Arabidopsis thaliana: one gene and its partner. The protein of the gene in region 1 purifies or fractionates together with the protein of each later gene. This does not show direct contact. Each region holds a gene or a part of one and is shown on either strand. Other genes may lie near its edges. The genes, in order: AT4G36080 and AT3G49830.

Evidence for each region.
Region 2: the proteins of AT4G36080 (region 1) and AT3G49830 fractionate together in Arabidopsis thaliana (co-fractionation; one large-scale study listed by BioGRID). This does not show direct contact.

The regions. Positions count from the first base shown.
Region 1 is NC_003075.7:17,070,199-17,087,030, forward strand, and holds the start of AT4G36080 (phosphotransferases/inositol or phosphatidylinositol kinase), read right to left. Parts: upstream 7,842-16,832; 5' UTR 7,431-7,841; coding exon 7,373-7,430; intron 7,167-7,372; coding exon 6,451-7,166; intron 6,305-6,450; coding exon 6,179-6,304; intron 6,079-6,178; coding exon 5,993-6,078; intron 5,819-5,992; coding exon 5,710-5,818; intron 5,217-5,709; coding exon 5,121-5,216; intron 4,991-5,120; coding exon 4,928-4,990; intron 4,844-4,927; coding exon 4,784-4,843; intron 4,532-4,783; coding exon 4,466-4,531; intron 4,187-4,465; coding exon 4,105-4,186; intron 4,005-4,104; coding exon 3,880-4,004; intron 3,800-3,879; coding exon 2,567-3,799; intron 1,951-2,566; coding exon 961-1,950; intron 882-960; coding exon 546-881; intron 370-545; coding exon 111-369; intron 25-110; coding exon 1-24. Other genes in the region: AT4G36090 (oxidoreductase, 2OG-Fe(II) oxygenase family protein), read right to left, coding at 8,178-8,514, 8,680-8,751, 8,848-9,158, 9,245-9,330, 9,435-10,028, 10,310-10,472; AT4G36100 (Sec1/munc18-like (SM) proteins superfamily), read left to right, coding at 12,381-12,698, 12,753-13,145; AT4G36105 (polyamine-modulated factor 1-binding protein), read left to right, coding at 13,767-14,329, 14,417-14,434, 14,579-14,753.
Region 2 is NC_003074.8:18,472,468-18,488,594, forward strand, and holds AT3G49830 (P-loop containing nucleoside triphosphate hydrolases superfamily protein), read left to right. Parts: upstream 1-9,781; 5' UTR 9,782-9,915; coding exon 9,916-10,667; intron 10,668-10,803; coding exon 10,804-11,473; 3' UTR 11,474-11,513; downstream 11,514-16,127. Other genes in the region: AT3G49800 (BSD domain-containing protein), read right to left, coding at 247-434, 621-1,209; AT3G49810 (ARM repeat superfamily protein), read right to left, coding at 2,469-3,815; AT3G49820 (uncharacterized protein), read left to right, coding at 8,770-9,255; AT3G49840 (transmembrane protein (DUF2215)), read left to right, coding at 12,084-12,195, 12,360-12,573, 12,655-12,821, 12,892-13,037, 13,117-13,179, 13,251-13,343, 13,430-13,591, 13,687-13,867 and 1 more; WIH3 (cysteine-rich TM module stress tolerance protein), read left to right, coding at 14,872-14,920, 14,999-15,278, 15,453-15,498.

The DNA of each region.
Region 1 (16,832 bases):
GTAAGTGGAAGAGCTCGATAATAGCTGCCACAGAAAGAACAAAAAAATGTGTTAATATATAATCACATGACCAGGCATCTGTTTTTATATATTTCCAAGAACGTGATTACCAGCTGCAATTTTCGGCTCTTCACCAGCTTTCCATGATTTCTGGGACTGTGCAAGTTTCTCTGGCTCTAACCACTTTTTAAGGTGCTCCAGCAACTTACATCCTAATGTCACATTAAACCAATTTGATAGAAGTTCAAGAAGACGTGCCAGACCTTGGAGTAAAGGCATATTGAGATTCTTTGTCTGTGCCAGATTAACTAGTATAGGTCTGAGGCTACTCTGAAGAAGTTCTTTGGGCATCCGTTGTTGATTGATAACCTAAAGAAAAACAGAGTTTCAGAACAGCAAAATAGTATATTAAATAACATCATTTATCCCAGAAAGAGAAGAGGGCTTTTAGGTAGAGGAAAACCTATTCCATCAAGTCTATCTTCAAAATCCTCAAATTAAATGTGCGTGCAAGAATTGGAAACAAAAGACAGATAACTACGAACCTGTCTTAACCCCTCCTTGGCAACGGTCACAATTTCTGGTGCTCGACACGTTAAGGACTTGAAAAACATGGAAATTATCTTCGCACGTAGTTCATTGTGACTTTGAGTTCGAAAGTCAGCCCAAGCCATAGTTGTGCACAGAATCTCAATACAAGCTGTTCGAAGTCTGTTCAATGATGTAAGGACTTTAGGACTCATCAACTTCACAGCCCATAAAGCTTCATCAGCCTCAGCTATTTGTAACGCTTCTTGCAAGAAATTAACCAACTCTGGAGTCACCTTTAGAAGGGGGGGCCTCAGTGCTAAACAAAAATTCAGAGCTGTCACAGTTCCAACCTATAAGGCCATATTAAAGAAGGTAAGACAGAAGTCCAGAAAGGATTTACAACAACCAAAAAATAGCAGAATGAGGCACCTGTTGATCAATTGTCTTTGATCGAAGTGGACGCATTATAAGTGGCTGCAGCAAAGGCTGGTATAAAGGCTCAAGCAGTTCAGATACTTCACTACCAGTCCGGCTAGCCAAAAGTGCAAGACAGTTCTGAACATTTTTCCTCACTGTGATGGATGCATTAGAATTGAACAATTCAGTAGCAAGATATTCTACCACATCTTGAAAGCTTTGTCTGCGCGCATCATTGTTTGCTTCGTCAACATTATTAACCACTCTTAGAATCTGTATAAGAACCTGACTTGTCTCGTCTTGCTCTTTGCTAGCATAAACAGGAAGCCTCTTTTGGACATAGACCAGACCACGTACAATTTTTACTTGAAACAGACATAATGTTTCAACATTCACTTTCCCTACCAGCGCACCTAATCCCATTACTCCTCCCATTTGCGCTTGCCATGTGCTCCCATAACAGCAATGCAACAACCGAGGTAAAAGTTGTTCAAACACTGGTATTCGCACACTTGGATGGGGTGAATATACCGGATTTGTAGAAGGACTGGAGACAATCATAGATGCACTGTGAGCACCCCTAGCCATCAGCACATCAGCATGTTTGATACGAGCAAGGAACAGCAGAGTTTCAGCAAACACATTTAACGAAGTCAGAGCAGCTTTGGCATGGAGCCTGTTTTCATCTGCAAGCACATCAACAAGAGCATCTAAAAATATTAAGGGATCCAGCTGTTTTAAGTAGGTAGACCAATTATTCTTGGGCTTGGAACTTGTTGAAATCAAAGAACCCCCAAGTGGACCAGCACTAGTGGAAGTATACGACGAAGTATAGTCCCCATGCAAAATAATTGCAAAATGCCGACATATGTTTACAACAAAGTCATCATCGGAGTCGCTGAGATCCGGATCAGAACTGGCAGCAATTATAGTTATCAATAGTGTCTTAAAGATCGACTTCTCAGCGATTAACTGCGTCTTTGTTTTAACCCCTAAGTCAGCCTGCAGCAGGAAAATGATCCTCTTAATAAATATATCCTTTTATATCCTATGACACCACGTACCACATATCATGTAAGGAGAAAAATAACTTGCTCACAAGAAATGACATGACACAGTCCTAGCTCGTTTTTTCAGAAAATACAAACACATGGCAACAGGATAACAGATACAAAATCGAATCATGTCTCATGTCAATGTGGTTCAATCAAGAAACCATCAGCAGCAAAAAGATCCTCTCTATAAATAAATCCTTTACATCCTATTAGACCATTACACAAATGATTTAAGTTAAAAATAGGCAACTCACAAGAAATGACATGAAACAGTCCTAGCTCCTTTTCTTTTAAAAAATACAAACGCATGGCAACAAGATAACAAATACAAAATCTAATCAGTCAATGTGGTTCAATCAAGAAACTATCGCCTAACAGGTAGCCCCGTCTTCAACATCACGTGATGTCAAAAACCTAATTTATGAAGCATTGTGAATAATGGAGATAAGGTAATGGTTTAAGAAAACGTCAGCCAACTGAGTAGCAACTTTGACATTGACCAGAAAGCTACAGAGTAAAACTATAAAGGGATTAAGATTATAAGAGAAATTCCAAAAACCAACCTCTATTTCTGTTGATTCACTCCTGCGCCAAAATGAATCAACAGAGGAAAGTAACAAAGTTGATAATTGCTTGGTCGTCTGACCCTCATCAGTGACACACCCAGGCAAATTAAGCTGAGACAACAAGCAAACACGGAGGAATTTTAGAGCTTGCTTTTTGTAGTATATCTCTGTAGTGAGGTTTTTCTGCATAACAGCTGCTACAGCAAGATTAATGAATTTGTCCATTGGCACAAGAAATGGAGTGGACGGCTCAAAAGTCAGAACTAAGCGAAGCCCATGTTCTGGATTATCTTTGCATTCAAGTGTAAGTGGCTCTTTCAGAAATCGCCGGTTGCGACCACCCAACTTTCCCACAATTTGTAATGCTTTACCACCCCAAGGATATGGCACCGGCTTCAAGTGAGACCATAATGCTAAGATCACTTCAGACATTACAGTTGCCATACTTGGCTCCAAAAAATCAGGATTTAGACTATCCACCCAGAATTCAAGGGTGCGTAGCCCCAAGCTCACAAGTTCATCACTTCCTCTCAAACAGGATACAAGAGGCCTCATGAGACGGGGAAGGTAAGGCAATAAGGAGCTTAAGCGTGCAGGGAGTGTCAAAGAAAGTTCCAACAGAAGATCTCTCATGTCTTCCCCGGCTGGACCCTCGAGCATTGTCAGAAGAATATTAAGACAAGGTAGCAGCATAGGGACTAAATCCCTAAGAAGCAGCTCGAATTTACATCCAGCAAGTCCTCTGAAAACAGTTCGGAGCAATTGCATATAACCAAGAGGCTTTTCAACTTCAGTAGCATTCTTCATGCAGACTTCCATAATAAGAGGCACTTGAGGTTGCAATATCCGTTCAAAATCAGATGGTGCTTTTGACACAGCCCCAAAGAGGCACCGGAACAGATGCAGAATTAATTTAGTTGCAGCTGAATCTGGATTCTTCAGAACATCGAGCTTGCTGCTTACCAAGAAATTAATCAGAACATCTGCAAATGGCTTGTATACTTTGGGAGCTTGCAGAAGAGTGGCAAATATTTGAACCAGTTGAGTATTGTCGATTATGCACTCAAAAAGTTCAGGCATACATATAGAGAACATATCCATTAGATCACGAGGTTCCATAACAGCCAAAATTTGGGAGAAAAGATTTAGCATTTCCTTCTCCTCATCCTTATCTTTGAAGAGAGCTAGGCAATGGACACCGCTCTTTAAAACACCAGAGGCTTTCCATACCTGCTTGAAAGTAGAGATTACTAGTTGTTTATCAGCCATACATTATTAATGCCTACACTAAACAATCTAACATTCAATACCTCATCTTCTCTCATTCCTTTAAAAACCTGAGTAACAGATGACTGTGACGCAAGAGCTTGTGGGTGCATTCCCTGAGGTCGGGGCAAATGTGCATGGGTTATACTCCATATGATTGTCTTCATTCCTGAATAGAAAGTAGGAAAAGTGCTTAACATAAACAAACATAATCAATAAGTATAACTGATCCACTAAGGTGAAACGTCAGTATGGCCAAAATTCCATACCCATCACCAGTGTCTTGATCAGATTCTTACAATCATTCACTTCTTTGGAATGTTCGGCAGGAACCTGCAAATTCAAAACTGCCTGCAACCAGCATGGTTTGGTAATTAATATTTTTTTGCCAGATACTTTCTATCCAAAGTAAAATATAATGAATTATTAATAAAGAAAATAATGCTTCAGTAGAAATAATAACAGGCTTTAGAAACGAAAGTAGACCTCTATATAAGAGGACATAAGAACATTAAAGAACGCTATGGAACTACTAAGTTTGGACATAACAGCGGAAGTGTGGAACACGATCCCCCATTGGCTGATAATTTGGGTACTTACTAAGACAAAACAGCCACCATAGATAATTACCTGGACAGGAAGTTCAAGCTTCGACCTCAAAGTGATTTGATCCTTTCCGTCACCCTCCTCTAAAAGCTATGAAGGAGAAAGCAAGACTAAGTAACACATCATTGAAATAAAAGAGTTGCCAATCAGAATCGATAAAAGTTCAAGATTTCTCTTTTTTTGCAACAAAAGTTCAAGATTTCTCAACAAAACCATGTAATCTGTTACAGCTAGACATAAAATATAAAAACTGGCATATCAAGCAAAACCTATACAAAGACAATAAACAACAACGCTAAAAAGCTGAAACAACATGGAAACTTGGAAAGCCACCAGAATTACCTGAGGAACAGTACGCTTGAAGGTATTGAATTTCCCAACAAAGGCATCCAAGATACGTCCCTATAAACAGATGATGAGTAAAGTAAGTTAATGATTAGAGCAGCCAACCGATTCTAATATGAGCTCTCAGGTGTAAAGTTATACCAACAATATTCGCGCTTCATCCATTGACTGCTGATCAATGCCTTTCTCAAATATCGGTTCTACCTGAACCCAATATAAGTATTAAGTTATACTAAAATCTTGATTCAAACATAATGGAGAGATTATGTCACATAAATGTTAAGTAATATATCGAATTTAAATAAGGCAAACTAGATGAAAAAAATAGGTTTACCAGATTTAACATCAGACGCGCACAAGTTGTATGGATGTTAAGAGAGAGGGTCGAGTCATGCATGTTCCTTGAAAATAAGTAGATGATCCGCGATAACTGCCACGTTGTTTACAGTCAAATAAGATGAATTGTAAAAGAAAAATCACCCATAGAGTAGACAATGGAATGGGAAAAGATCTAAAAGAGAGAAGCCTGATTGATGTTGGCAAGAAAGATTGACCAATATGTTGTTCCTAAGATTAGTTGTTTATTGGCATCTCGATCTGTCAGAATTTTTTGGGAGGCCCTAGGTTTCAAGTCTATAAGCAAGGAACATATTTCCCAAGTGTGAGCACTTTCTGATCACAATTGATAAGACTGTTAAGATGAGGATCTATTTTAATACACAACCACATATACATAGCAAGAACTGTGTGTACTGGAACACATTAGTCTCACCTACTATAGAATCCAATGTTTTGCAAAGTTTCCAGAACTTAACTCTCTCAACTAAGAAGAGCTAATCTAGGAAGAGAGGACTAACAAATAAAAACAAAAACAAAGATAAGGTAAAGTAAGAAATAAATTGCACAGACACAACGGGAAGCACCTGAGAAAGGGACAAATCTGCTCGAACATGGTGAACAATCTCGGCCAGTAGGCTGTAAGCCAGAGGTCTCAAAGACTCAAAGCATGCTCGCCCCGTTCCAACTAGAACCCTGACACAGAAAAAAATAGCAAATAGATGACATAAGTCATTATTTGTTAATATATTATACTGCGGCACAGTGAAATTATACAGAACAGTAGAAGGTCTACTTGATAAAACAAAACAGCTTCCTGACAGGTGTACAAGTTTAAGAATTCAGAAAGGCAAAAAAGGCACATTATACCTCTCTTCCAAAAGAGTGTCAATAAGAGGAAATAAACCTCTCTTGAAATCCGTCCCAAGTACATGCTTTAGTGAGACTAATAGTTCCTGCATTTCATAGACCAAAAAAATATTCTTTACTTGCAAGCCCATGACTGTATTACAAGGTGAAAACATAAAGAAGAAAAAGGAACAGACAGTTCTCCACCTTTCTGATAGATGCAGAATCCGAACAGGTGACAAGCAAATTTACAATGCTCTTACAAATGCTTTCTTCATGCGGCTTGATATATTCGGCACAACTTTTTAACAAATAAGTCAAAAAGGAAACGGTCTGCAAACAAACACTACAAGTCAATATCCCTTAAAAAACAAAATAATTCAGGTGAAACAACAAGGCAGTGTAGGCCTTAATTAAATATTTTTCTCACTGCCCAAATAAGTTATGGTTTCCTTCTGGATAGAGAGCCATTGTCTCACCTTAACCTGAGCACCCTTCAGTTCGATGAACTGAGGCTTCATATGTGAAGAAACTTTCTCAGGTCCAGGAATAGATATAGCAGCAACCATCAGGGGTAACAAATTAGGAATATTAATCTGAACAAGTCTGCTATACAGCTGAAAAAGAAACATAACGACGAGGGGGCTCTCTGTGACTATTTTGAATGAACGAGTACTTGGGTTGATCTGCCCATTCCTGGAAGGTGCAGTAATGGACAGCGACTGATCAGATGGTGTAGGTATCTCCACAGGTTTCACTTCTTCCATTTTGACATTCTCGAAAAAATGGCTAACCGTCAATCTGAAGTTCTGGTATATTTTGCAGACAAAATCCAAGAATGGTTGAACCTCATTTTCTAATGTTGGCCTAAAGTTCCTAAGAAGATCAAAGATGATGCGAATGCATATTAACCCATTTTCTTCATTATCTGTCGTGAGCACCTGCATTGCAACTTTCAAGAGGTCTTGCACAAAAGGACGAAGAACCTCGCTATGTGGTAGACGATTGAGGATCTCAACCACAATGTTGCGTAGTTTGTGCTCAATATTATCAGTAAATTGAGGCTTTGTAATCTGAAGAAGAATCACTGAAGATGCCCGGAAGTAACATTTCAGAAAATTCAAGTACTCAGCCGTATGTGTGATCTCTAGACTGTCCCTGACCTCCACCACCATCGCAAGCCTCTCCTCAATAGCTATAGAACACAAAAACAAGCTTCGAGTAAGTGTCGCTACATTTTTAAATTAACTTGAACTGACTCAAAATCAAACAAAAATTCCTCAGACAAAATCAAAGCTTGAAGAAATTTTCAAATCCAAAATCAAAGAAACTAATTCTGAGCAACAAACAAACAACCCAACGACGAAATGAAGAGAAAGAGCAGAGAATGAGTGGTATTACGTAGGTCAGGCTCCACGAGACGACGAGAGTGTTGCTCAAAATTCTGAATTGGACTCATGGCTATAAAAAAAGCTGACCCAGACAAGCGAAAACGCTGTCTTAGGGTTCCGTCACATAGTAGGAATAGTAAACGTTGCTTCCTCCTCCTCCTTTCTAAAACCCAAACCGCGACGATCCCTAACGCTAAGCCCAAGGTGCTCCACTAGGTCAGACACTAACAAGGGTTTATCAAATTAAGCTAATTTAATAAGAGTCGGTTATCTGGTATAACACCAATAGCCTCGAGGTTAACGATGGAAGATGATGAATTTTCCCTCTCGATTTTTTTTTTTGGTGTGGGTCTCTCTGCGAGACTCCCCTGAAAAGAGAAAGCGAGGAGAACCTTTGAGAACTCGAGCGTAGCAGTGCAACGAAACGAAATTCAGCAGCCGAGTTATATATAAAGGTCCCAACTTTTTTTATATAAAAAGTCCCCATTGTTCCCTCAAATTTCAGAAATGCGAAGAAAACAAAATCTTATGGTTAAGGAAATGTAATTAACACTGATAATATAGTTGTGTTCGTTTTTTATAATCATCGAACAAGTTTTACACGGAGAATGAAAGTTTACAGAAAAAAAGAGAGAAATCTTTCACGCCATTTTTTTTTTCTTTCAGAAGAAACCAATTGGATGATATTTTCGTCTATTCAACCATATAGTTGAAATTATCGTAAAAAATTCGGTCAAAACGAAAAGAATTATTAGAAGCAATTTCTATAATTTGTTCTGTGGTAAAATCAAATATTATGTTCGTGTTACAAATTCTCAGACGTTGTCGGAGCTAGTAACCTTGGGTCTATAGGACCTATTAGGAGTATGTCGTGAAGTTTCTCTTCGTTGGCCCGATGATGACCGCTCTCGACTCTCAGAATGATAATCTCTCGACCTACGATACTTGCTTCCTCCTCCATGTGCAGTTCGATTGTTGTGATTACTACCATTTTGATCAATGCTGGATCTTGAAGAGCTAATGACTGCATCAGCAGGAGTACTCGGCGTGGTGTGTTCGTATGGCAACGGCTTAATCTCCTCCAAATCAGGTTCCGGGGTGAATCCGACTGGTCTTTTCGACTCGTCCATTTTCCTAAACGTGATCGATATCCTGAAAGCAGAACCGACGATAGCAAAAACAGTATGAACAAAACAAAACGAGATAACACCGATAAATTGCAAAACACCAAATCCTTTTGTAAAAAGAGAGAGTAATGGTTTCATTACCAAACATATAAATAAACGTTGACAAACAATCAAGGTGCTAACAAATTACCTCTTTGTGGGAACGGCAGGTACACAATGCTTAGCGACATCAGCTCCATTACCCTTGAGCACTAGAACTGATCTGAAGCAAAAAAAGTGAAAAACTCGTCAAAAAGTTAAGCAACAGAAGCTTCAGTAGAATAAACTCAGAGAGGGTACGCAAACTTTAGTGATTTACCCGACAGGAAGCGGTATAGAGTAAGAACCGGAGAATTCACCAGGTCCTAAGACTTTGAGATTTGAACCAAAGAGTATATTGCATTCACTGAGGAATGATACTGTGCAGAAAGGGCGGAGGAAGTCATGGTTATCGATGTGAGGAGGTATGCAATCGTCTTCCTCATAGATATTGACGATACAACTATCCGGTACACAAGTTGGAGGAAGTACATGCCACCCAACCAACCTTTTGATTATTACTTTGAAAATAGATGGCATTGGATCAACATCTCCACGTTGAAGGATTCCGGGTGGGTTTCCCGCTTTGTCCTATCCAAAAAACAAAAAACTCTTTCCATATTCACTATAGTTGATAAAATGTTTTCATTTTTAAAGATGAGGAAAGAGTCACTTACCGGTGCATAGTTATAACAACATCCGAATTGAATAGTAACTCGTCCTTTGCCTCTCATCCACTTATGCGGAGCGGTAAAAGTACGCTCTAGATATCGAAAAAGAACCAAAAATTCAAGATTAGATAAGTACCGTTTAGAGTTTTCAAATTCACATTATGCAAAAAGCAATGAAAGAAAACCAGAAGCAAACCTCGCAATTCTCCTCTACGGCCTTTCTCTTGTAGTTCATAGACAAAATCAACAATCTTTTTCTGCTCCACCGCGCTAAAAACACCGGTATGCAATTCAAGTCCTTCGAGAATATTAACAGACCTCCCTCTAACTTTCTCATAACAAGAAAACACTTTCATTTTCTTCACATTCATAAACCGATAACGCTCTCTTTCTTCCCTAGACAATTTACGCTTCTCAGGAGTCTTCATCGAGTCTCCAACGGAAGGACTCACATCAACTCCATGTGAACCTAATTCATTCTCTTTCTGGTCTTCCTCCTCGAGCCCATCTTCTTCTCCCATATCAGCCCAAGACATTTGTGCACTTGCCGCCTCAGAAACAGTTGACTGAGATGATGGCATTGCATGACTTACACTGTCTGACAAAGATCCAAATACAAAAGCCCCAGCTTTCAAACTATCTAATGAGTGAGAAACACACAACTTCCCGTCATAAATATTGTCCATCTTGTTATCAACTTCTTCAGATTCCATGTTATCAACTTCTTCAGATTCCATGTTATCCACCATTGAACCAGAACCCGCTTTAACTTCTCCATTACTACAATGCTCTGTAATAAGGAAACACAATTACACATAAGGTAAGAGAACAAATACAGAAATCTCACGAAGATAGCTTGATTACATAGAATATTCGATATCTCTAATCATCACAAATCTATGAATTAGTTTAGAAATTATTGTAACTCCAATCATTAAATTGAATTCAATAGCTGAAGAAAATTTCGAAACAGAACACACAACATTAGTAGTAACGAAAATTCTCCTCCGTTTCTTTAATCGAATTATGAAAAAAGAATCAGAATTTTCAACAGAGAAGAAGAATTCAAACCTGGGTCTAGAGAACGGATTCGATCGGAGAGAACATGAGCACAGTCGTTGCAGAGATCTCTAGATAAGAAAGGCAACCAATTCGTAAGAAATTCAGAAGCAATCTTAAGTTCGGATGATTGATACTTGGCGAGAAAAACATCTTCCTCATAATTTGGTTCCATTATCTTCTATCGCACAAACCAAATCTCGCTGTTTCCGTACTTTAGTTTCAGTTTGTACGGATCGAACAAACTTTTCTCGAGTTCGTTTACTTTGCTCTTTTGAGTCGTCTTTCATTGATAACAAATTTAGGTCGGATTTGCTTATAAATATTTACAAAAGGGTAGTTTTGGAATTTACCACTACAAAACGCCGACAAAAGTTCTGGTCCGTGAAGCCCATGAATCAAAAGGCCCACTTAAGTTTACGTTAACCCGGAAACGAAAATATTTACAAAAGGGTAGTTTTGTGATACAACAGCTTCCACTCTACAAGCTCGTGGTGAGGAAGAGCTCCTCCAATGTGTTTTAGTATCTTTTTTATGCGTTCATGTCTGTTTTGACTTTGTTGCCGAGAAATTTTACTAAAACTAGTAAAGCTAAGCTCTTTGAGTCGTTTTTCATGTTTAATTGAAGCAGTAGATTGTTCTTCTTCCACTATTGGATGCCATGGAAGTAGAAATCTTCAGGATTCTTCTTGGCTTTGATTCTGAGATTTTTGCAATTTGAAAGTTTAATCAAAGGCTACTGTGATTTTTTTGGATATTTTTCTATGATTTGTGATTTTGAGTTGTGGTGTTTTCTCTTTTTCCCGTTGTTGAGATGTTGAGAAAATTTCTGTCCAGAATTGTTGATTCACACTATTTGCTGATTCGGTTTGGTATGCATTGGTTTTGAAATTAAAACTGATTTCGGTTCGGTTTCATTGGTTTTGTTGAAAAAAACTAAAAGAGTCACGCGATGGAGAATTTGGAGAGATGTGCGTCGATAAAAAAAGTCATGAATTGGAAAGGGTACGAAATAGAGCCTTCTGATTGGCTTAAAAACTCAAAAAAAGTGCAATAGTATACTTGTTGCTAGCTCTTATTATTTGATAAAGTTTTGTACTTGCATCTTTTTTTTCAGTCACCGGAAGTTGGAATTTCGTTTGTGATAGGATCTAAACAAGTATCAAAGTCTACAAATGCTGGATTAAGCAAGTTAAAGCCTTTGTGATTCCCCTGTATCTTCAACAACGTCGTCTTCAAAACTTTATCCAAAGACATCTGTGGATAGCCATAACAAGCCACAGTTACATTATACAGGAAAGGTACCGCCTAAGGCTTTGCATTCCAAAGAAATTGTCACAATCACTTTGTTTGATATGTTTGTTCTGTGGATTGTTAACATTGGTTTATACTTGAGTGAGGTCCCAGACAGGAAATCAAACTCACATTATGCATGTAGCTACTGTCGTTCTGTTGACCATATAAAGCCTTTACTTTTACTGTAGTTAGTTTATAGTTGCATTCTTTAGCTTAGTTCTCTGCTTTACACACTTTGCAACCTAGTAGAACTTTTCTCTTATGACACCCGTGGTCAATACATTGGTTGACAATAATGAAAGTGGAGCTGCTATAACATCTTTTCTTTTTATCAAGTGATTTTATGTTCGGTAATAGCTTACTGTTTCATTAACTCTGACAAACTGTTTATTATTGCACTGTCTGAACACTTAAAGATGAACAACTGACCATAATTTCACTTTCACATATATCTGCAGAACCTCATTGACCTGACAGGTTCTGAGAGCTCAAAGGCTGAAACCAGTGGTTTAAGGCGCAAGGAAAGGTCTTATATAAATAAAGCTTTGCTGACTTTAGGGACTGTGAGTTCTTGGTTATCATTGTTTTCCCCCAAGCGACAATAGTTTTTCGAATTTAAGAACCTTTTTTGCAAGTTGGATCGTTCTTTTGCAAATTTGTAGGTACTTGTTATAGTATTTGATACTCTTATTTACTTTCTGTTGGTGACATGCATAGTGCTGATTTCACTGTCTCTTATATTTTTATGATCCAAACATGAAACACATACATAATCCATCCTCAACCAATGGAAGAGTCTATCAATCAAAATCCTGAAGCTATGGAAGCACTTATCTCCAATCTCTTTGGAAACATCTCGTCCTTGAAATCTGCTTATATCGAGCTTCAAAGTGCTCATACTCCTTACGATCCCGAGAAGATTCAGGCAGCGGACAAAGTTGTCATTTCTGAACTCAAGAATCTTTCCGAAATGAAGCATTTTTACAGAGAGAATAACCCCAAGCCTGTATGTGTCTCTCCACAAGACTCTCGTTTAGCTGCAGAGATTCAAGAGCAGCAGAGTTTGTTGAAGACTTATGAGGTCATGGTGAAAAGGTCGCTAATGGTTTGTTCTGTGTATTGGCAACACTTAATTATTGGATGATAATCACATATCAAGGAGCAATCTTTGGATGCATACGATGAGAAAGAGAAGGAGATGATGATGATGATAGGCAGCATCAACAGAACCGAGCTTCTATCTGTTTTGAAGGCGAAAGGTACTAATATAGACAAGTTACGGTTTGCAATCATGTACTTAATTTCCTTAGAAAGCGTTAACCAAACCGAAGTTGAAGCTGTGGAAGCAGCATTGCGTGAAGCTAAGATAGATACAAGCACGTTTCAGTATGTGAAAAAGATCAAATCGCTGAACGTTTCTTTAGCAGCAAACTCAGCCAGCAAAAGTCATATTGCTCTATGGCCAGTCTATAAACGTGGTGACCGCGCGGGAGTCAAGAATCTCTTATCCAGTGATGAGAAACTAGCGGTGGCAAGGGCTGTTGAGTGTTGAAGCCTTAACTGAAGGAAAACCGAACCTGGAAACAGAGTCATACCTAATACTGGACCCGAGAGCTTCAAAGTCAGGCTCTAGTAGTAGTAGCCATGTGAAGGGACCGTTTAGAGAAGCGATAGTTTTCATGGTCGGTGGAGGAAACTACGTAGAAAATAAAAGTTGGCAGGAGCTCACACAGCGTCAAGAGACAGTTGAGAACATTATCTATGGAGCCACAGAAATCCTTAATGGAAGCTAGCTGTGTTGGGACACAAGGTGGGACTAGGTGGTTCGGTGAATTCTTGACCATCCAAAACTTTAATTATTTATTTTGGTAATGTTTAAAGACTTAATTTGATTTACACAATACTAGTACTGTATATGCTTTTATTTAATATATCCATAACCAAAATAAATTTATATTAATTTTATTTTGAAGTGAGTTTGTTGCTTAAAAAATAAAAAAGTTAAGCAGAACTTTTGATTTCCGAATAATTAATTTCTAGGTCAACGAAGTTGGTTCCGCCGTTAACTAGACTAAAGATTGCGTTTTGGATTTACTTTGGATTCTAAGCTTCTTTTTTAAATGATTGCAGATTTGCAGAAAGAAAGCTTCTTCTTTTATTAAGTTGTGGACAAATGGCTGGTACTAGCATGGCTGAACCTGAAGGTGTCAAGATGTCCCATGACTGTTCAGAGGAAGACGCAAGAAAGGAATTAAAGGTTTTGTTAGATAGGGTCAAATCAGCTGCAACAAGCTTGAGCTATTTGAGATCAAAAGCTAGAATCTTGGCCGTTCCTGGTCTGTCACTCGGTGCTCAACAGCTACAACTTAAAGATGATACTACATTGGCTGGAACCAACAAGAACAAGGATTCCTTGGTTATAGAGGATGGAGTCTATACTTTGAATACGCTCCAATCCATAGAAATGGTTATTACTGATGCGCTGGAGTCTCTTTTGAGGAGGGTCACAGCGGCAGAATCTGAAACGTGTTCTCATAAGGAGAAGGTGATTATATGTGAGGAAGAAATTACAAGGAAGACAGTCCAAATCCAGAATCTGTCCTTGAGATTAGAACAGACGGAACGGATTGTAATGACAGAGTGTGAGTCGCTTAAAAATGCCCTCACTGCTTCCAACAATGTTTTAGATACACTTCTTTCTTCCTCCAGACGGCACTTCCAAACCATTGAAGCCCGGTCAGTCTCATCTCTTTTATTTGCAACTTGTTAGCTGTTTTATGTAAATGATAAGACATGTATATATGTGATGTTCCTTTTGGAAAGGTACAAACTACAAAGTATGTAAAGCAATGTCTATGATAGCGTGAAGAGCAGAAAAATCAATATATAGTACAAGCAGCTGACGAGTTATAGAATTTATTAACAATTGCTATGTATTTCAATGTTACTGAAGCTATTGTCATATGTTTATTACGGTGGAAGCAGGTTGGTTGCTAAGTCGACACAATTGGAAGGCGAGAAAGCGCAGAAAGAGGTACAAGTGCAAAAGCTGATGGAGGAGAACATGAAGCTGACCACTCTTCTTGATAAGAAAGAAGCTCAGCTTCTGGCCTTAAATGAACAATGCAAAGTCATGGCTCTGAATGCTTCAAACATCTGATTCTGAATCTTTCATCTCTTGGCAAAAGAGAAGATATTCTAGGTGTAATCCTTGGACGACATAGCATTTTTCTATCGGATTCTTTTCTGTTTTTTTTAAGATTTGAAAATTCTGGTAAACTATCTGTAGAACATGGCTTTGAATAAAGCAAGCATAGTTGATCTGCTCACTTGTTAAACTCCTTGTCCCTGCTCACTTGCTAATTTTCTGAAAACATTATCATGACACTAAACATATGATATGAGTAAGATTTTGCAAAGCATAAATATTTCATTTGGTTTAGACAAGGATCAAGTTTCAAGATCACATAATTCAATTTTGGAGGTTGAAAGAAGATCATGATTCAAGAATATGTTTCTGACTTGGTATTTTGAAAGAAGTTGTGTATATCTTCTTCTTCTTCTCTTTTGGGGGACAAATTATTAAAACCAACTATCTATTGGTCGTCTCTAATCAATCAGTGGAAAAAACAAGCAGAGAGGATTAAATTCTTCCACCATGGTCACACTCACATCGACAGGTATTGCCTCATGTGTACTATATGTTATAAATCATTTCTCTCCTATGGTCATTTTCATTCACAGAACATGAGTATCCACAGATATTAAGCATTTACAAACAAGAAACACCTTGAAATGACTTCTTTAGTCTCTCTAAATCTGGAAGAGAAAACACATACACTTCTCCTACAAATGGGGGAACTAGAATACAGATTGCGACACTGACAGTTATCAGAGAGTGTCTTCTTTGCTTTGCCAAAAACTCACATAAAAACTGCAAAGAGTATTAATCAGTTGAAAGACAGAAGACAATGCTTTACTCTGGTGGCCTTAGAACATGGTGGTGGGAGAGCAAAACTTCTCTCATCATAAGTTATCCAAAATCAAATTTTGTGGCTCAGATTTCATTGGAGGAATCTTTGTCAGCTTGTGGTGCTGAGTTGTTGTTGCCACATGGAATAGTCATTTTTTTGCAGACATGGATCCTACAGAGTTTAGGGATATGAGCAACTCTTTTGTAACTCTCTCTTTAGTTCTTCTTCTGTGGATTTAGCAGACATTTATATATTTGTTTAACATTTAATTATCTTATTTTCTCAAGTTTATTTCTTGTATCGGTGGTTGAGGTATTATGCACATGTATATTATGTATTTTAAAAAAAGATTTTATCTTTTAAAGCTGTCCCTTTTAAAGGTATTGGATTGGAAACTGAATTTGTAGGAATTTTTTTGGAAAAACTCCCTTACAATAAAATATTATTTCTGATATATTTTATGCATTTTGTTTGTTATGAGCTGTCCATTTTTTGGTATTGGAGTGGAAACTGAAATTCTAAAAAAAATAAGGAAAACTACTCTTTATATTCTTTTATGTATTTTTGTCGTTAGGAGCTGTCCCTTTTATAATTTTAAAATTGGAAATTGAATTTGTAAGGAAGTTCGGAAAAACTCTTTAAAAAAAAACAAAAAAAAAAAACTTAGTTCTAATATTCTTTTATGCTTTTTGTCGTTAGGGGTTGTCCCTTTTATAGTTTTTGTATTGGAATATAAATTCGTAGGGAAACTGGGAAAAAAAAATCTTTCAAAATAAGTCTTAATTTCAATATGTTATGCTTTTTGTCGTAAGGAACTGTCACTTTTGTAGTTTTATAATTTGGAGAAAATCTTAATTTCCATCACCGAAGCCTGATTGGTGACTATGCATGGCTTGTAAAGAGATACATCACATCATACCTACCTTGCAAGATCAACCTCTTTTGTACTATAGTGTAAAGGTTTTAAGTGTATTATTTTTGTTGTAGACATGTAATTGGCTAAGGTATCCAAAAATATGATATTAGTAGTTTCCAGAACATAAATTTCACTTTAATTTAGACAGGGCTTCAAGTTCAAGATCACACATAATTCAACTTTTCGGCAGAACTGTTTCATGTGAATATAAGTGTCAAGATTAAAGATAAAATGATTACACTGTAAATGTATATATTTTATTAAATATTGTCATTCTTTTATGTTGTGAATGTCACCCACACAGCTTACCTTGGTATGTAAGCTATACATCTTGAACATACAATAACAT
Region 2 (16,127 bases), on another chromosome or scaffold:
TTTATGAAAACGCAAAATCAGTAACTCACATCATAGAAGTTTCCCTCTTTCCCATTCTTATATCAAATAATTCACATTAAAAACTTGCAAACCTAATTCACATGCTACTAGTAAAGTTCATTATTAGCACAAAGAGAATCATCTATTCATTGAAACATAAAGCATAACATCCAAATAGCTCGAAAACTTTGTAAACAGAAGAAAAAGACAGTAATGATCAGCAGTGGTGTTGAGAATCAAGCTAACCTGAGGAGTTGAGAGAGTCAAGGCATCATGTTTGCTGAATATAGGATGCACAAGTACAAAGTAAATCCTCCAGAAGCAATACTCGCTCATGTACGCAGGACAAAGCTCAATCCTCAAAGCAGCCAGACTCGATGCAAGATTCTCCACAGCCAACGCATGCTCATATTGGGCATCAGTCATTTCAAAGTCTGATCATAACAGTTGTAAAATACCACTTAACAACAACACCTTCATATAAAACAAACCCTAAACTCTAAAGTGATCAGAAAAAACTCTCAAATACGGAATATCTAAGTCTAGACCATAGTAGATTCCCTCATCAACATAATCGATTACAAATTAGTGTCGAATCTGCTGCGAAATCGAAAACGTACCATCAAAGTTATCATCCTCGTCAGGAAAAGGAAAATCAAGCCAAGTCTCAGGATGCAGAGCAAGATCTCTAGCAAACAAAACTACTTCCTCCGTCACACCAATTGCATTTCCAATCGCAACATCACGGTTCTTCGAATCCACACCTTCCGATCCCAATTGCAAGAAATTCGAAGCCATATTTGTAAACTTCGATACCGGTAAGTTTCCAGAGAGTTTCGAGATCCCAGTCTTAAATCTACCTCCGATCTCAACGAAATCGTTCCTGATTCCAGCAATCAGATCCTCATCACCTTCCGCGAGATCCGATGACTTCCGAGTCTCCTCATCCACATGATCCGCCGTATCGGAAGAAGAAGGAGGTGGCGCGAGGAAAGAAGCAACGCCCCATAGCTGACTTCTTAAGGTCTTGGTGAGTTCAGAGATGTCTTCCTTCACGCCTCGTGGAGACTGTGTTTGCAACACCGATGGCGAAGACGGTTGATCTGAGCCGGAATTTTCAATCGAATTGGTCTTAATCGTTTCCTTTTGATCATATTCTTCCTCATCGATCTTCAGAGAATTCGCAATGGATCTAGCAAGCCATGCCATTTTTTTGGGGATCTCTCACAAGTCTCTCGAGTATCTCTCTCTTAATCCGCGACCTTTAACGAGACACCATTGACGCTAAATATTCAACCTTACGAAACGTCGTCGCTGGATTAGTTAATGAGCTACGTAAAAATAGCCCATAAGATTGAAAGTCCAGCCCATCTAGGGGCTAGGGTATGCGGGACACCATTCAATTTAAGAAACGTCGTTGTTTAATTATGCAAATGGGCTTAGTAGCTAAAGCCCATAAGGTACAATATCTAGCCCATCTATAGGTTTGGTTACTGTTATTCTCTGTTACAGAGTTTTATATGTCAAGACAAAAACTCTCACATCACACTGTGTTATACACAAACCCACTCAAAACAGAGATTTGCTCAGACTCATTTCCAAAAACAGGACAAGTAAAATAAGCCTATGTTTATTTTTGTGTTAAAAAACAGTAGAAATTGTTGAATGATTCACTTGTCAAATCTCACATTTCTTTTCAATTGTTCATTACAACAGTAGTAGTTCAGAACAATGTATGGAGACTTTTGGTCTCCACCACAACTTATGTGCTCTACTTATTAGACAAGAATCAAAATTCACATCATACTGTACTTTGAGATGTCACTCTATGCAATAACAGTGATTGATTTTTCAAGAATCACGTTTTTGATATTTACTTCGTTGAAGACAATAAGGAGGCTGAGAACAAAGATGAAATCATGACAATTGTCTAATTCCTAATCTAAGTAAAGCTAAAAGAAAACATTGAATGAAGAAAAAAAGATTCAAAAGCTTAAAAGAGGCTTCTACAAGTTCAGGGTCAAAGATTTTGCTTTTTTTTTTTTTTTTTTTTCTCTGTTGTGAATGGTCAAAAAGCAAAACAACCTCTCACAAGAACCCAAAGTAGAGAGGTTTAACTTAATATGGTTCCTTTCTTCAAATTCTTCTTTTTCTTTGTTCTTCTGAAATTGATTTGAGCCAGAGGCGGTAACTTTACACAGTTTTTTTCTAATTCCCAATGCTTATTGCAAAACGAACCAATATGGTAACATTACATACCGATCCCTCAACCACCCGGTTTCTTCGTCTTCCCCATGTTTCCATCAGCTGATTGCCTCTTCCTTTGAATTGTTACCACCAAAACCAATAGCTCAATCTTCAAACTCATCATCTATATATACATCAGGGCAAAGGCAGATTCGTAATGCAATGCACATTTACCGTTTCATGGATAACCCGCTGAATCCTGTGATCAATCAGTGCCAATGCTATTGGATTGTCCTTGTGAGTTTGCATTTGGAAATAAACATGGTGTCTGAATAATGTAGACTACAAAGCTTAAGTAGCTCTGCTGACCGCTGCTTCAACGCTGCATCACACCCGCTCTGGATCACGAGTAACAGCTTTGCAGCAAGACCAACCTCAACAGCAAGTGGTGAACATTCTTCTGGAGCTAATTTGCAGACAGACCAAAGAATCGACAGCGCGTAGTTAGTGCAATTCTCAGACACCCTCATCAGCACCCTAACTGTATAAGGTATTGTGTTTGCAGAGTCTTTGACAGCAACTCTTCCTTCCACGTCTGTACACAAAGCATCAAGAACAAACAGAGCTAACTCCAAACATTCCGGGTCTAAAGACGGTAAGATATCAACTAATTGAGGCACTGCTCCAATGCTAACCATCAAGCTTCGAACTTGTTTATGAACCGAAATCGGTTTAAGCAACCGAAGTGCAGGAGATACTCCATTTCTATGTCTCTTATCCTTAACCAATCTCATTAACCCAACAAGCAAACTATGACTTGAAACAAGCTCTGCTCTAAACCCTTTCTCTTCCACCAATCCTCTAATCAATCTAGCACAATTGATCTTAGTCTCATTAGATCCATCATTCAACATATCAACAATCAAAGAAACCTTAGCTGGTTGCATCAAGCCGGATTTCGAATCAGAATCAAGATCAAGACTCACAAGAATAGCAACAACCTCAGATCCAACAGCATGAGAAGTAAAAGGACCCAAAAGAGAAGAGATCACAGAGACACCACCTTCTTCAACAACAGTCTTCCTCGCCATAAGATGAGCAATAACAATCTGTTTAAGCTCACTCAAAGCATGAACCCTAGCTTGACCTTTAGCTTTCTTCAAAGTCCCCAAAATCTCAATAGCTCGTCCTTGAACATCCTCAGAACGTTTCTTCATCAACACATACTTCTGAGAGAACCAAGTATAGATCAAATGATGAAGAGTTTTATTAGGAGTTACCGTATCATCCCAAAGCTCTTGCATTGTAGTAGGACAAGTCAAGTGACCTAGGTTAAACCATTTGTGAATGTTTAACCTTTCATAGGTTTGACCAGTACACAAAGTCACAGGATCTTGCATCGGCTCTAAGGAGATAGGACAAATGAAAACAGAAGGTATATCTTGTAAATCTAGCTCCTTTATCATCTTCTTCAGATCCAATTTCTCATCAACAACTCCAACACCACCACCATTAACACCACCGAGAACTCCATCTTTCACTGCAGTATCCAGATCTAAGACTTGCCCATCACCACCACCTTCAAATCCTATTAACCCATCTCTCTTTAACGGCTGAAACATCGGCATTTCGATAGAATCTATAGAAACAAAAAAATCTCAATAAAAAAACAGACTTTTCTTCTCAAACTCACAACATTTGGGAAAATAATGTGAGCTGAAAAAGAAACGCATGTCTTTATCTCAGAAAGAAGCGTTAAAACAACAACAACAACACAATCTTCTTCTTCTTCTTTTTCCTCTTTGCTTTAATTTAGTTTTTCTCTTTTCAACGGTCAAAAAGAAGATTCATTCAACTCTTGTTAATAATATAACATCATAAACACATGATTGAAACCCAACTGCTCCCAAAAAAAATGTGAATTTTATAACCACAAATTTCGAGAAACAGAAAAAAGGAGGAATCATGAAGAATAATGAGAAGGAAACCAAAAAAAAATCAACGAACCCAGTACAAAGGTTTGAACTTTCAATACCAGAAAATCTCAAAAGATAAAAAAGGAAGAGAATTTGAGAAAACCCAGATGACGAAATCAAAAATAAATTCACGAATTCGTGAGAATGACGAAGAAGAAACCCGTACTCTCTCTTTTGTTTGTTTGTTTCTCTCTTACCTTCTTCTGAGGTAGTGTGAGTGATTGTTTTGTTTTTGTTTCTTTGAGAGGAAAAAAAAATGGGGTGAATAAAATAAAAAGGAGAAAAAAGGGGAGAGATTAAAGATTTGTTGAAAGATTCGGGTGGAAAATCTAAAAAAATTAAAGATAAGGTGACCGGTGAATTCACTGGTTATAGCCGGTCATTTAGTCCTCTCGACTCGCGTACCACACGTGCAAGCTACACCACATGTGACATGCCCTCACCTCCCGGTTTTATTATAATACAACTCTCTTTTTTAATTACCATTGAAAAACTCAGCTTAATAATTTTGATTTCCAATTTTGTCCCTACCTTTTATAGTTTTAAAACGTAATTAATTAGGCAACCAAGAAAATTCTCCCAATAATAAAGAATTAGTAATTTTAAACACATTATTTCAGTCAAATTATACAGGAGATGTAATTGTTCCTTCCAATAAAGTGTGGAATAAACACTTTGGTATGTGAATGAATAGTTTTAGTTTTTTCTGATAATATTTTGGATTTAAAATTGGGAATATCCTTTAATTAGTCAAAAAAAGACAACAGTGAAATTCTAAATTTTCTTTTAGCTTTTTTTTTCTTAATATCCACGCTAACTAAGGATAAATACTTTTCCCATTTATGTTAAAAAGATGTTTGTTAAGGTTAAGGATTTTGTTAAAAAAACAAAAAAAATGTTGAAGGATAAACAAAAATGAGGGTAAAGTGGTAAAAATGAAAGAGTAAAGAAAATCCGGCAACGTAGTCAAAAAAGCTGAGAAGTTTGCACTAAACTCCAAACACCCACGGGGAAGAGTAACCCGTACAGGTCGGGGCACGTGTGACGATAATTTCTATGTTTAATTTCTTAATTACTTTTTTAATTTCAATCTTATCATCGTTATTAATTCCAAAGGAACAACTCTTGATTTTTTGTTTGTTATACCAATACCTTCCTTCACCTCTTTTTAGTATATAAAAAAAATTAAAACTGAAAAAAAAAACCGAAACCGATTACCCGAACCGAAACCGACCCAAATAATTGGATCTAAAACCGAATCCGAATCGAAAGATTTATTATATTGAATTCTAAATTCCTAAACTAAAAAAATCGAATCCAACCACAATCCAAAAATACTCAAATATTTTTATTCGAAAATATAAATTTTACCTTAAACCCAAAATTTTATCCGAAAATTCAAGTATTTACCCGAATATATTCGAACCCAATTAAATCTAAACCTATATTTTAGATTTATTATATTAAATTCTAACCCAAACGGATATTTCCCTATAATATTACTTCAAAAAAAATTATAATAGCTATTAAAAAAGCTTATTGCCAAACAACTTTTTGAATCGATTTAATCTGCTGACGAATAAGAATTTTTATATAAAAACAACATTTAAAAATTGGTTAAATTGTTTCACATAATTGCAGTTTCAAAATAAAAAAGTTTTAAAAATAAATATTTTTTTGAGAAATATACTTTATAAATATCACACACTATTAGAAAAGAAAAAAAAAACAGAGAGGAGTGAGATGGGGACCACAAACAAAAGTGCCAGCTAGACATAATATTTGACCGTGACAGTGTCTTGCTTTGACTATAAGCGTCGATCGTCTCCGGGTCTAATCTCTTTGCCCCCTTTGACTGTTCCTTTTACCCAATCATATCCCACCACGTGTCCACATCTGCCTCTTCCCCACCCAACCTTCATTTGTTAATTAATTTGGTTTTCAAATTTTTCATATTTTTAACAAAACAAACTCTCTACCAAATCAAGATAATTTAATAATAAAACTTGGAAATTGATGGGAGTGGGGATAGAGAAAGAGATAGAGATCTGTAAGAGAGACCATGTGTTCTTTTTGTTGCAGTTGAGTACTGACCCATAACTGCAAAGTTTGCTGTCCAAACATATATTTTTATTTATTATTTCATTGAAAAATATATTGATTACTTATTACTGGACCCATTTTTGAAATGAAATTGCAGATTCAAATGAAATGATTTTCAGAGTTGTTGATAATGATAAAACCAAAAATTTTGTGTCTATGACGTTTTTTTTTTCTAGTCAAACTAAGATGATATACTAAAGTGGACCGGCAAGTGTTTAAATGTGATATGACTTGTTTTGTAATCAAGTTTTTTTAGCCTTTGGGATGATGGGAGATTGATAGTGATATTATAAAAATATAATAACAATAACTATATCAAAAAACAAAATTGATTTAACATATCATCTAAGTAGTAATACGGACCGAGTGCTAATGACTGGTGTGAGTGGTGGTGACTAGAGGTGGACCTACGAATAAAAGCGTAACCATTTCATGAAAACGAAGTGACGAAAATTCAACTACTGTGTGTCGTATTTTCGTTGTTGGGATCAACAGTTTTTAATACGTGTGTTGAATTTGTTCTTGTTTTATGTTTGTTGAGCTAGAAGGTTTCAAATTATGAAAGAATGAACTGACACTAACCAATTAAGTGGTGGTCTAGTGGTAGACGTCGACATTTCAAAAGAGGTAGGTATGATTTCTGATTCAAGTCTTGTTTGGGACAAGATGATTTACGCATGTCTGCATTGTATACTTACGTATAATATCAATCGCTGCAACATGTAATGGAGATCGAGACTACTAGCTCTTAATTTATGAGCTAAATATATAAAGAAACTGACTCTAATGACACTTAATCATGTAGATTCTTCGACTTGATGGGGATGAGTGGGCTCTAAAGACATGATGCACTGAGCAGTTCGTGATTTTGGAGAATGTGAGGAAAGGTAACTATAGGAATTGATCACTAATTCGATGGTATATCGGATTGGCAATGTAACACTCATAACTTTTGATGGTAGAGAGTTTGTGGATGTCAAATATCGTTCAACTATGAGAAATAACTTGACTTCTATAGTTCTATGAGAATACAGTGAAATAATGCCACTTTAGGTAATGAGGTTTTGTTGTGTCAATTTATAATGATGATGACTGCAACTAATACAATAGAAATACTCTTGTATCAACTTAAAATCGTTGCGGAAAAGGTTCAATTTGTGTCTAAACATATATGAGATCACATTGTTAATTGTATAGCAGATTCAAACATATGTTTTAAAGAAAATGAATTTACTGATATAGAAGGGACTAATAAAAGGCAAGAAAATTCGTAGGTCGATTATGGAAGATTAATGAAAAATAACAAACTAATTCAACAATAACATAGTTCTAATCAAATTGTTTTTTTCTTGCTTTGTCGTTATGACTTTATGCCATTTTATTCTACCATTTTTGTCTACGCTTTCGTCATTCTCGGTGTTACCAATCGAGCCCATGACATCGGTAAACATGAATACACTATAATGCATTGCCTACGCATATGTTTATCTTTAGTATTTTAGGCTTTAGCTCATTTATTTTAACGTTAAAGAAGTGTGAAACAATCTTTTAATAAATGCAAAAGTAGAAGCACGAAGGAATAAAAAAGGTATATACCGCATTCCTACGCGTATTCTATATGTTTGATTTTCTAGCCATTTTAGCTTTGGACTGTCACGTGAGTCGTGACGCTCTACCCCCTAAATCTATGTCTATAGTAGTATGTACATATCAGACACATGCATGAGGCACCTATATATTTGTAAATAAATTATACACTATATGACGTATGGATTCAATGATACCAAGAGTTTTTGCTTGTAACGCCCAAGATTTTCGAAACCTACAATCTAGGATCTAAATAGTGTACCTCCAGTTATAAATTATATTTGTCGCTCTAGATAAGTTAGAGTAATGGCCAAATCTCGATAACAATTTATTTGTGATCTCCTCACATGAATTTCTTTGGAACCAAATTAATCCCAAACGATAGGATTCAATAATCAGTTAAAGTTTTGTAGTATTCGATAGTGGGTTAGAGTAATGTAGTGATGCAAACAAGAGTGCTAATCTATTGGGTCTATACATTGGATCAAATTTAATATATGGGCCGAACTATCATACCAAGCGTCATGCTTTGAAGAAAGTAGTTGAACCAAGCCATTATACCCTTTTAACTACTAACTAACCCATCTCAAATATCCAGATTTAAATTGGTGTCCATATTATATGAAATAAGTTAAGACTGATTTGCCAACAAGGCAACAACACCTTAATAAATTTAAACATCTAACTGAAAGAAATGTATTTAATCATCCAACTAGGTACATTTAAGAATAGATCACATTCATAATTTTGTTATTATCATTTACAACAGTCATCATGGATTTGTCTTCTCTTTGATCCTGTCTTAGTGTCTTGAAATCTTTGAGCATTTCTTCTTCTTCGTCTCTTATAATATATTTAAAAGGTTATATATTTACATATATACAACTTTGATTTCGATACTCTTGAGAATCCAATAATGAAAGCGAAAGTCATAGAGAAAGAGAACTGCTTCGTATGGTTGGTTAAGGCTCCTTTTCGTCTGTTGATCATGGCACGTGACGCCTACATACGAAGCATTACGTCATGCTCCGGCGCCGGAATTTATTCCGGTGGTGGATCATCTGGTTTTGGTCAACTCTCCGGAAACTTCCAAATCTGCGATCCGCCTAGCACCGCCCTTCCTCGAAGCTTTACCTTGACGTCGGCGGCACATGATCAAGGCTGTCTGACACGTGGCGGACAACCTACGATTGCAATGAGACAATCATTGTCCTTGGATCATCGGAAGAACAATAGATGCGTTGTTGTGATGGGAAGAATAGATGAGGAGATGTCTTGTGATGATGATGATGAGTTTCAAGAAGAAGACTCTTTTCTTGATTATGGTAATTGCGAGATTCTTACAAAAGAAATAGAAAAACCATCTGTTGACCAAAAACATAAGCCTCTAGGACGATTTTGATTTTGATTTTTAGGTTTATTATTAGGTTGTTGCATTGTGCTTATTGAGAAATATGGATCAAACACTTGAAAAGAAAAATCATTTTGTATCATTTAATATTATTTCTTGTATTACTTATAATTGATGTTAAAAAAAATTACATACGATTCTAAAAGTGGTGATGCAAATAATTCACATTGTTTTGTTAACAACCAATGCAGTTCTACATGATTTTAATATCATGAGTAATTTCTAAAAACAAATTACAACAAAAATTAATTTCTTTTAACCACAATAACTTCACAAAATTACAAACATAAAATACAAATTCAAAACCACAAGCACAAAAAATAATAATTTAGAAAGTTTATCAATTACTATTTTTGCTGTAAGAAAAAAAGTTTCTCAATTTTATTTTTGTCTGCAATATCTTTACAGATTCCAAAACAAAACAAAAAAACTATCTTTTTATTTATATATATATATATATATATATATATATAAATGTAAACTTCCTCATAAGTAAATTAACAAGAATATATATCAAACAAAATCTTGTAATTTTTTAATATAAATAAAGCTAAACCTTTACGAAGAAGAAAGACTCTGGTGATTGATTCTCCAAAGTCTAAACCTAGTAAAAGCCAAGTCTCATTCCTCGGGTGAACTCAACAACCGACGATGGCAGAACTAAGGTTATCAGAAACTCGAGACTTAACTAGGATCGAAAGAATCGGAGCACACTCACACATACGAGGTTTAGGTCTCGACTCAGTACTCGAGCCACGAGCCGTATCCGAAGGAATGGTTGGTCAAATCAAAGCACGTAAAGCCGCCGGAGTAACCCTCGAGTTGATCAGAGACGGCAAAATCTCGGGTCGGGCTATACTTATAGCGGGTCAACCCGGAACGGGTAAAATCGCAATAGCAATGGGTATAGCAAAATCACTTGGACAAGAAACACCATTCACTATGATTGCAGGAAGTGAGATCTTTTCTTTAGAGATGTCAAAGACTGAAGCTTTAACTCAAGCTTTTCGTAAAGCTATTGGTGTTAGGATCAAAGAAGAGACTGACGTGATAGAAGGAGAAGTTGTGACGATTTCGATTGATAGACCTGCTTCTTCTGGTGGTTCTGTGAAGAAGACTGGGAAGATAACAATGAAGACGACTGATATGGAATCTAATTTTGATTTGGGATGGAAATTGATTGAGCCATTGGATAAGGAGAAAGTACAGAGTGGTGATGTTATTGTTTTGGATAGGTTTTGTGGGAAGATTACTAAGCTTGGAAGATCTTTTACGAGGTCTAGAGATTTTGATGTTATGGGTTCAAAGACTAAGTTTGTGCAGTGCCCTGAAGGTGAGCTTGAGAAGAGGAAGGAGGTTTTGCATTCTGTCACACTTCATGAGATTGATGTTATTAATAGCAGGTTTGTTTCTTGATCTTGTTCTGTATTTGTCAATTGCTTAGTTTTAGGTTTAGGTTAAAAAGATTGCTTCTTTTTCACGTATTGATGCTTTTTCAAGTTCTTATTTGGATTCTTGTTTTCTTTCTGTTGTTTGCAGGACTCAAGGGTATCTAGCCCTCTTCACAGGTGATACAGGCGAGATTCGTTCAGAAACCCGAGAGCAAAGCGATACTAAAGTGGCAGAGTGGAGAGAAGAAGGGAAAGCTGAAATAGTACCTGGTGTTCTCTTCATTGATGAAGTCCATATGCTTGATATCGAATGCTTCTCTTTCCTGAATAGAGCTCTCGAAAACGATATGTCACCAATCCTGGTCGTGGCTACAAACAGAGGAATGACAACAATCCGAGGAACAAACCAGATATCAGCACATGGGATCCCAATCGATTTTCTTGACCGTCTTCTTATTATCACAACACAGCCTTACACACAAGACGAGATCAGAAATATTTTAGAGATCCGTTGCCAAGAAGAGGATGTGGAGATGAACGAGGAAGCGAAACAGCTTCTGACTTTGATCGGATGTAATACCTCGCTTAGGTACGCGATTCATCTAATCAATGCAGCTGCCCTAGCTTGCCTGAAACGTAAAGGGAAAGTCGTAGAGATTCAGGACATTGAGAGAGTTTATAGATTGTTTTTAGACACCAAGAGATCGATGCAGTACTTGGTTGAGCATGAGAGCGAGTACTTGTTTAGCGTGCCTATAAAAAACACACAGGAGGCTACTGCAGGAGAAGAAACAGAACACGAGGCCATGGAAGTTTGAGAATTTTGTTTTATTGCTTTTTCAAGAACTTATTTTTTCACCCCATTTTGTCATGGACTCATGGGACATGGTTGAACAAAAGATGGAATTTTTCAAGTTTTCGAGTTCTCATTGAGAGATAGACAACGTTTTGTACTGTGTTTTTGACGGAGCGATAAGATGGTATGACAAAAAGGTAAGATTGTGGAGACGTTTGAAGGGTTAATTGGTAAGGCTACCTAAGTTCTCACCTAATGTTTGTATTCAATTGGCTGATTATGGTGGAAAGATGGCGGTTTTGTGGGTCGAACAATCTCCTTGTAGTAACAACGGCTATAAGAATAAGATTTGGTGCGCGGAGATTGCTCTTGAAAAACAAGAAAGTTGTGAAATTTGGGGAGAAGTTGAGTGGTTTGGTCATGTGCTTACAGTTCCTTCAACATGTTTTGTTGCCAAGGTTATTGCTGCTACTGTTTGATGATGAATGAATGTGTCACAAAGCTTAAATATGTTTTTTTTTGGTGTATGCAGATATGATGATGACATGGCTTAATTTTGTCTCTTTTATTTATGTGACTGCTTTTACTTTCGTACGATTTCTTCATCCAAAAAACAAAACCCAGAAAAATCGATGAGTGACTCATCATCAGTCATTGTCCGAAGCTCAAATTTCATTGTCGTGATTCTCTTCCTCAACCTCGTCACTTTCTTCTCCCTTGTCTCCTCCAATGAACTTGTCTTTGGTAAGTTTGTGTCGGAATTGAATTATACTTTTAGGGCTTTCTTCAATTCTTTATGGGACTCGAATTTTGTAGTTTAGAATCACCAAATTTCAAACCTTTTTTTACATAATTAAGACAATTGCGATGAATTATATAAAAAAAGATCCAATTTTGTTGTTTATTAGCAGCTGTGGGTGAAACTGGTTCACTACAAGTGACTCCAAGAACAGAGGTGATATATTCACCTGGTCTGAAACGAGGTATAACATCGATATGTGAGAGATTACATATCCATGGATTACAAAGAAGACTTGAGCACATTGATAGATATGCACATTCACTAAAGTTGACTCTTTTGAGTAATAATGCTTCCAACAGTATCGACGTTTGCTTCCACAGGTAAAATCTAGTATCTGTGTAATCTCTATGAATCAATCTAGTATCTGTGAAATCTTAAAGTTTACTTCTTTCTGATTATAGGAATTCGTCGCGTGCAATTGGAATGTGTCCTGATAATCAGTGGAAGAGAGTGTCCAAAGGGTTACCTTGGGTTGGGATAATGTCACCTTTTGACTATAAGATTCTTGATATAAGAACATTTGGTGGCTCATCTAATGTCAGCACCGTGGAGTTGGTTGCTAAACAAGGTAGAGTGCTTGTGTTGTTTTGTGTTTTGCAAAATTCTAAAACTAAACAAAGTAGAGTTTGTATTTGCAGAGTTTTTCATATACCGGATTGTGTTTTTAATCATGGGGATAGTGTTACTGAGTTTGGCTTCTAGACTTAGCAAATCAGTTGCGTTTTACTATATCGGTGCAATGTCTATTGGGATTGTCATTCTTGTAACTCTTATCATTAATCAGGTAAAAGTTTTCATAACGCTATCTTTTGTTATATGTTTCATGGTTTTTTCTCTGGTTAACGTGATAAACGGTTGTGCAGGGGATAAAGCGTCTACCAACTAGAGGGAAGAGTCGTTTTCAGTTATTTTTCTACTCGTCTATGGTGAGAGTTGTCTTCTCTTTGAGTTCTTTTGTCGAACATGTACTAACCAAAGCCTTCTTTTATATTCTCAGATTGGTGTGGGAGGTTACTTTCTTCAATACATACGCGGTTTAGTTCAAGATTTGCTAATGCAGATAGAAATCAGTGAAGATTTGTACATCCCTGTATGTAAGTTTTGGTACTTGTTGTTATGTCACATATTCATATTCTGGTTTGATTAATCTTAAACGGCTTATGTAAAATTTTGCAGCTGGCGATTCTTTTGGTTGTGTTTGTATTTATGTTGGGAGCGTGGTCAGGATTTTGGACTGTCAAGAAATTTGTTGTGACAAAAGATGGTTCTGTTGACATTAGTACATCAATCTTTGTCTCTTGGTCCATCCGAGCTTTTGCTGTGGCTCTGATCCTTCAGGTACTTCGTTTTTTCTCTGCTTTTGCTTCTGATTCATCTTTGATTATAACCAAACCTTTTGGTGATTGAAGTCTTGATCTTGTGTTAATTAACAGAGCTCTTTAGATCCATTACTTGCTGGAGGAGCGTTGATAACTGGAATTCTCATCTCATTGATTCTAAAGAGTATTAGCAGAAAGCTGTTAGCTCAAAGAATATATGAGCAAGATGATGAAACTGAGAGTTGTAGCCCCGGCTTGATCCATGCTACCTCGTTTGCTTCTCCTCTTCCTAGAGGTTTTGATTTTTTCTCTTTGTGTCTCTAGTGGTCTGATTTCTTTATACTAGTCCCTTTATCTCGTAATGTTGTTCTTGAAGAACCGGTTTTTCTTCTGTAAATGGTTTTTGCAGGTTCCAACAAGAAGTTGAGGACAGTACCATTATCTGAGTCAGATATCTTTCCTTCTTCATTCCACAAAACACCAGAAGGGAGAAGGAAGCTAACGAAGGAAGAGTTGCAAAAATTCACTAAAGAGAGCACGGAAAATGCATTGAAGGAATTGGTTTCTTCACCTGGTTTTGGCGAATGGGCGGTGAAAAATGCTAAAAGAATCACTGTAAATCCGATAAAGGAATCGTCAAGTAAATAGGGTGATACTGTTAAGCGCAGAAGAAGGTTCCTCTGGTTCTGAAAAGCAAGCAGCTAGGGGAACTTCTGAACCAGTCGGAGAGTGTAGTAGGTTGCTTGTGAACAAAGCAACAAGCCTTGCTTATATATAGTCTTCTGGAAAAGAACTAATGAGCAAGGCGAAAAAGTTGAGAGATTAACTTCTAAATCAACAAAATGTAACCTTTGACATAAATTGATATTGACCAATAAGATCATACGTTTCCATGTGTGTAGTCATCAATGATGTGAAACTCAATACTATAGTGTATTTTATTTGAATGGACGATGATAGTTGGTATAATAAAGGAGGAAATAAATAAAGTCATCTTTTTGTTATTTAACGGCTGAAATTTCAATAGCAATTTAATTTGAATGATTCCAGTTCCACAAATATGAGTTGGTCATCTATATCACATGTAAGTTTTCTTAGTTATATTTAAAAATCATTAAAATCTAAGAGTAGTCCTTGGAGAGAACATGTCTCTTGTCTCCTAAACCTCCTTTATTATCCATCATCATTGTCACTAACCCTATTATTATTCCATTCACAGCGAAGAAAAAGAAGCAAAGAGTTCGTTATAAAGAAAGAAATAAACCCTCAGATAAGAGCATAACAGAGAAGAAGAAGAAGATGTCTTATCAAGACCCACAACATCCCGTTAGTGCTCCTCCTCCTCAAGGTAATTCCCAATTTTTTCCAAGTTTTTAGGGTATTTTTGTTTCTTGTTTCTTAAGTTTCGATGTTGTTGTTTTGTCAGGGTATCCTCCTAAGGAAGGATATCCACCAGCAGGGTATCCTCCACCAGCAGGTTATCCTCCACCACAATATCCTCAAGCGGGATATCCTCCAGCAGGTTATCCTCCACCGCAGCAAGGATACGGTCAAGGATATCCAGCACAAGGCTATCCTCCACCGCAATATCCTCAAGGTCATCCACCACAATATCCTTATCAAGGTCCTCCACCACCGCATTATGGTCAGGCTCCACCGAAAAATAAGAAAGATAAGAAGGATTCAGGAGGCTTCATGGAAGGATGGTGCGTTGACCAATTATCTCTCTCTTTTTATATTAACATATAGTTTTGAATACTTGAAGCTGATGATATACCTTTTTTTGGTTCATTATTCATAAATTTTGGTATGGAGTAATATGGATATTCAAAGTCTATATGTTTGGTACTTATAAAATGTGTATTTGTTTTGTATTACAGTTTGGCTATGCTCTGCTGTTGCGTTCTCTTGGAAGCTTGCTTTTGATCGGAAGATGAGCTGATATTTGCCGTTGACCGTCTTGAGGATGCTATTCAATTTTGTCAAACATGTTAAAAAGACGTGTTTGATATACATTTTAGATCTCTTCTTCTGGTTATGTGTGTCCACGTTTTGGGTTTGTTTCTTTAATTTTCTTTAATTTTATGAATGAATCCGAATTTGACTTGAGGTCTTGTTTACTTTCATGACTATTGATTGATTCAGGGTATGTTACCCATCTTTTGTATATGTGTGTTTTATCTTTTGTATAAAAGCCATTCATTCTTTCCAACTAGAGGAACACAAAAAAAGAAAGCAACCCAATTTTGTTCTCTTTCTCATCAAAAATGTAAGAAGAAGTGACTGTATCAACGTGATCAAAACTTAGCATTACCATCAAACTTATATAAATTTATACTTACGGTCCGATATATTTCCATTTTCCGTCTCAAACATATATGTCACATCCACCATTCCTCGGTTGATCAACTATTCAATGTACAAATTTTTATAAAAATACTACTAAATCGTATATAATCTTGAGTCTTCACTTCTTATATTTAATGTAAGAGAGTGGTTTAGTATCCACCGATTAACTCGGTTCAAACCAAAAATACACCAAAATGATATGACTG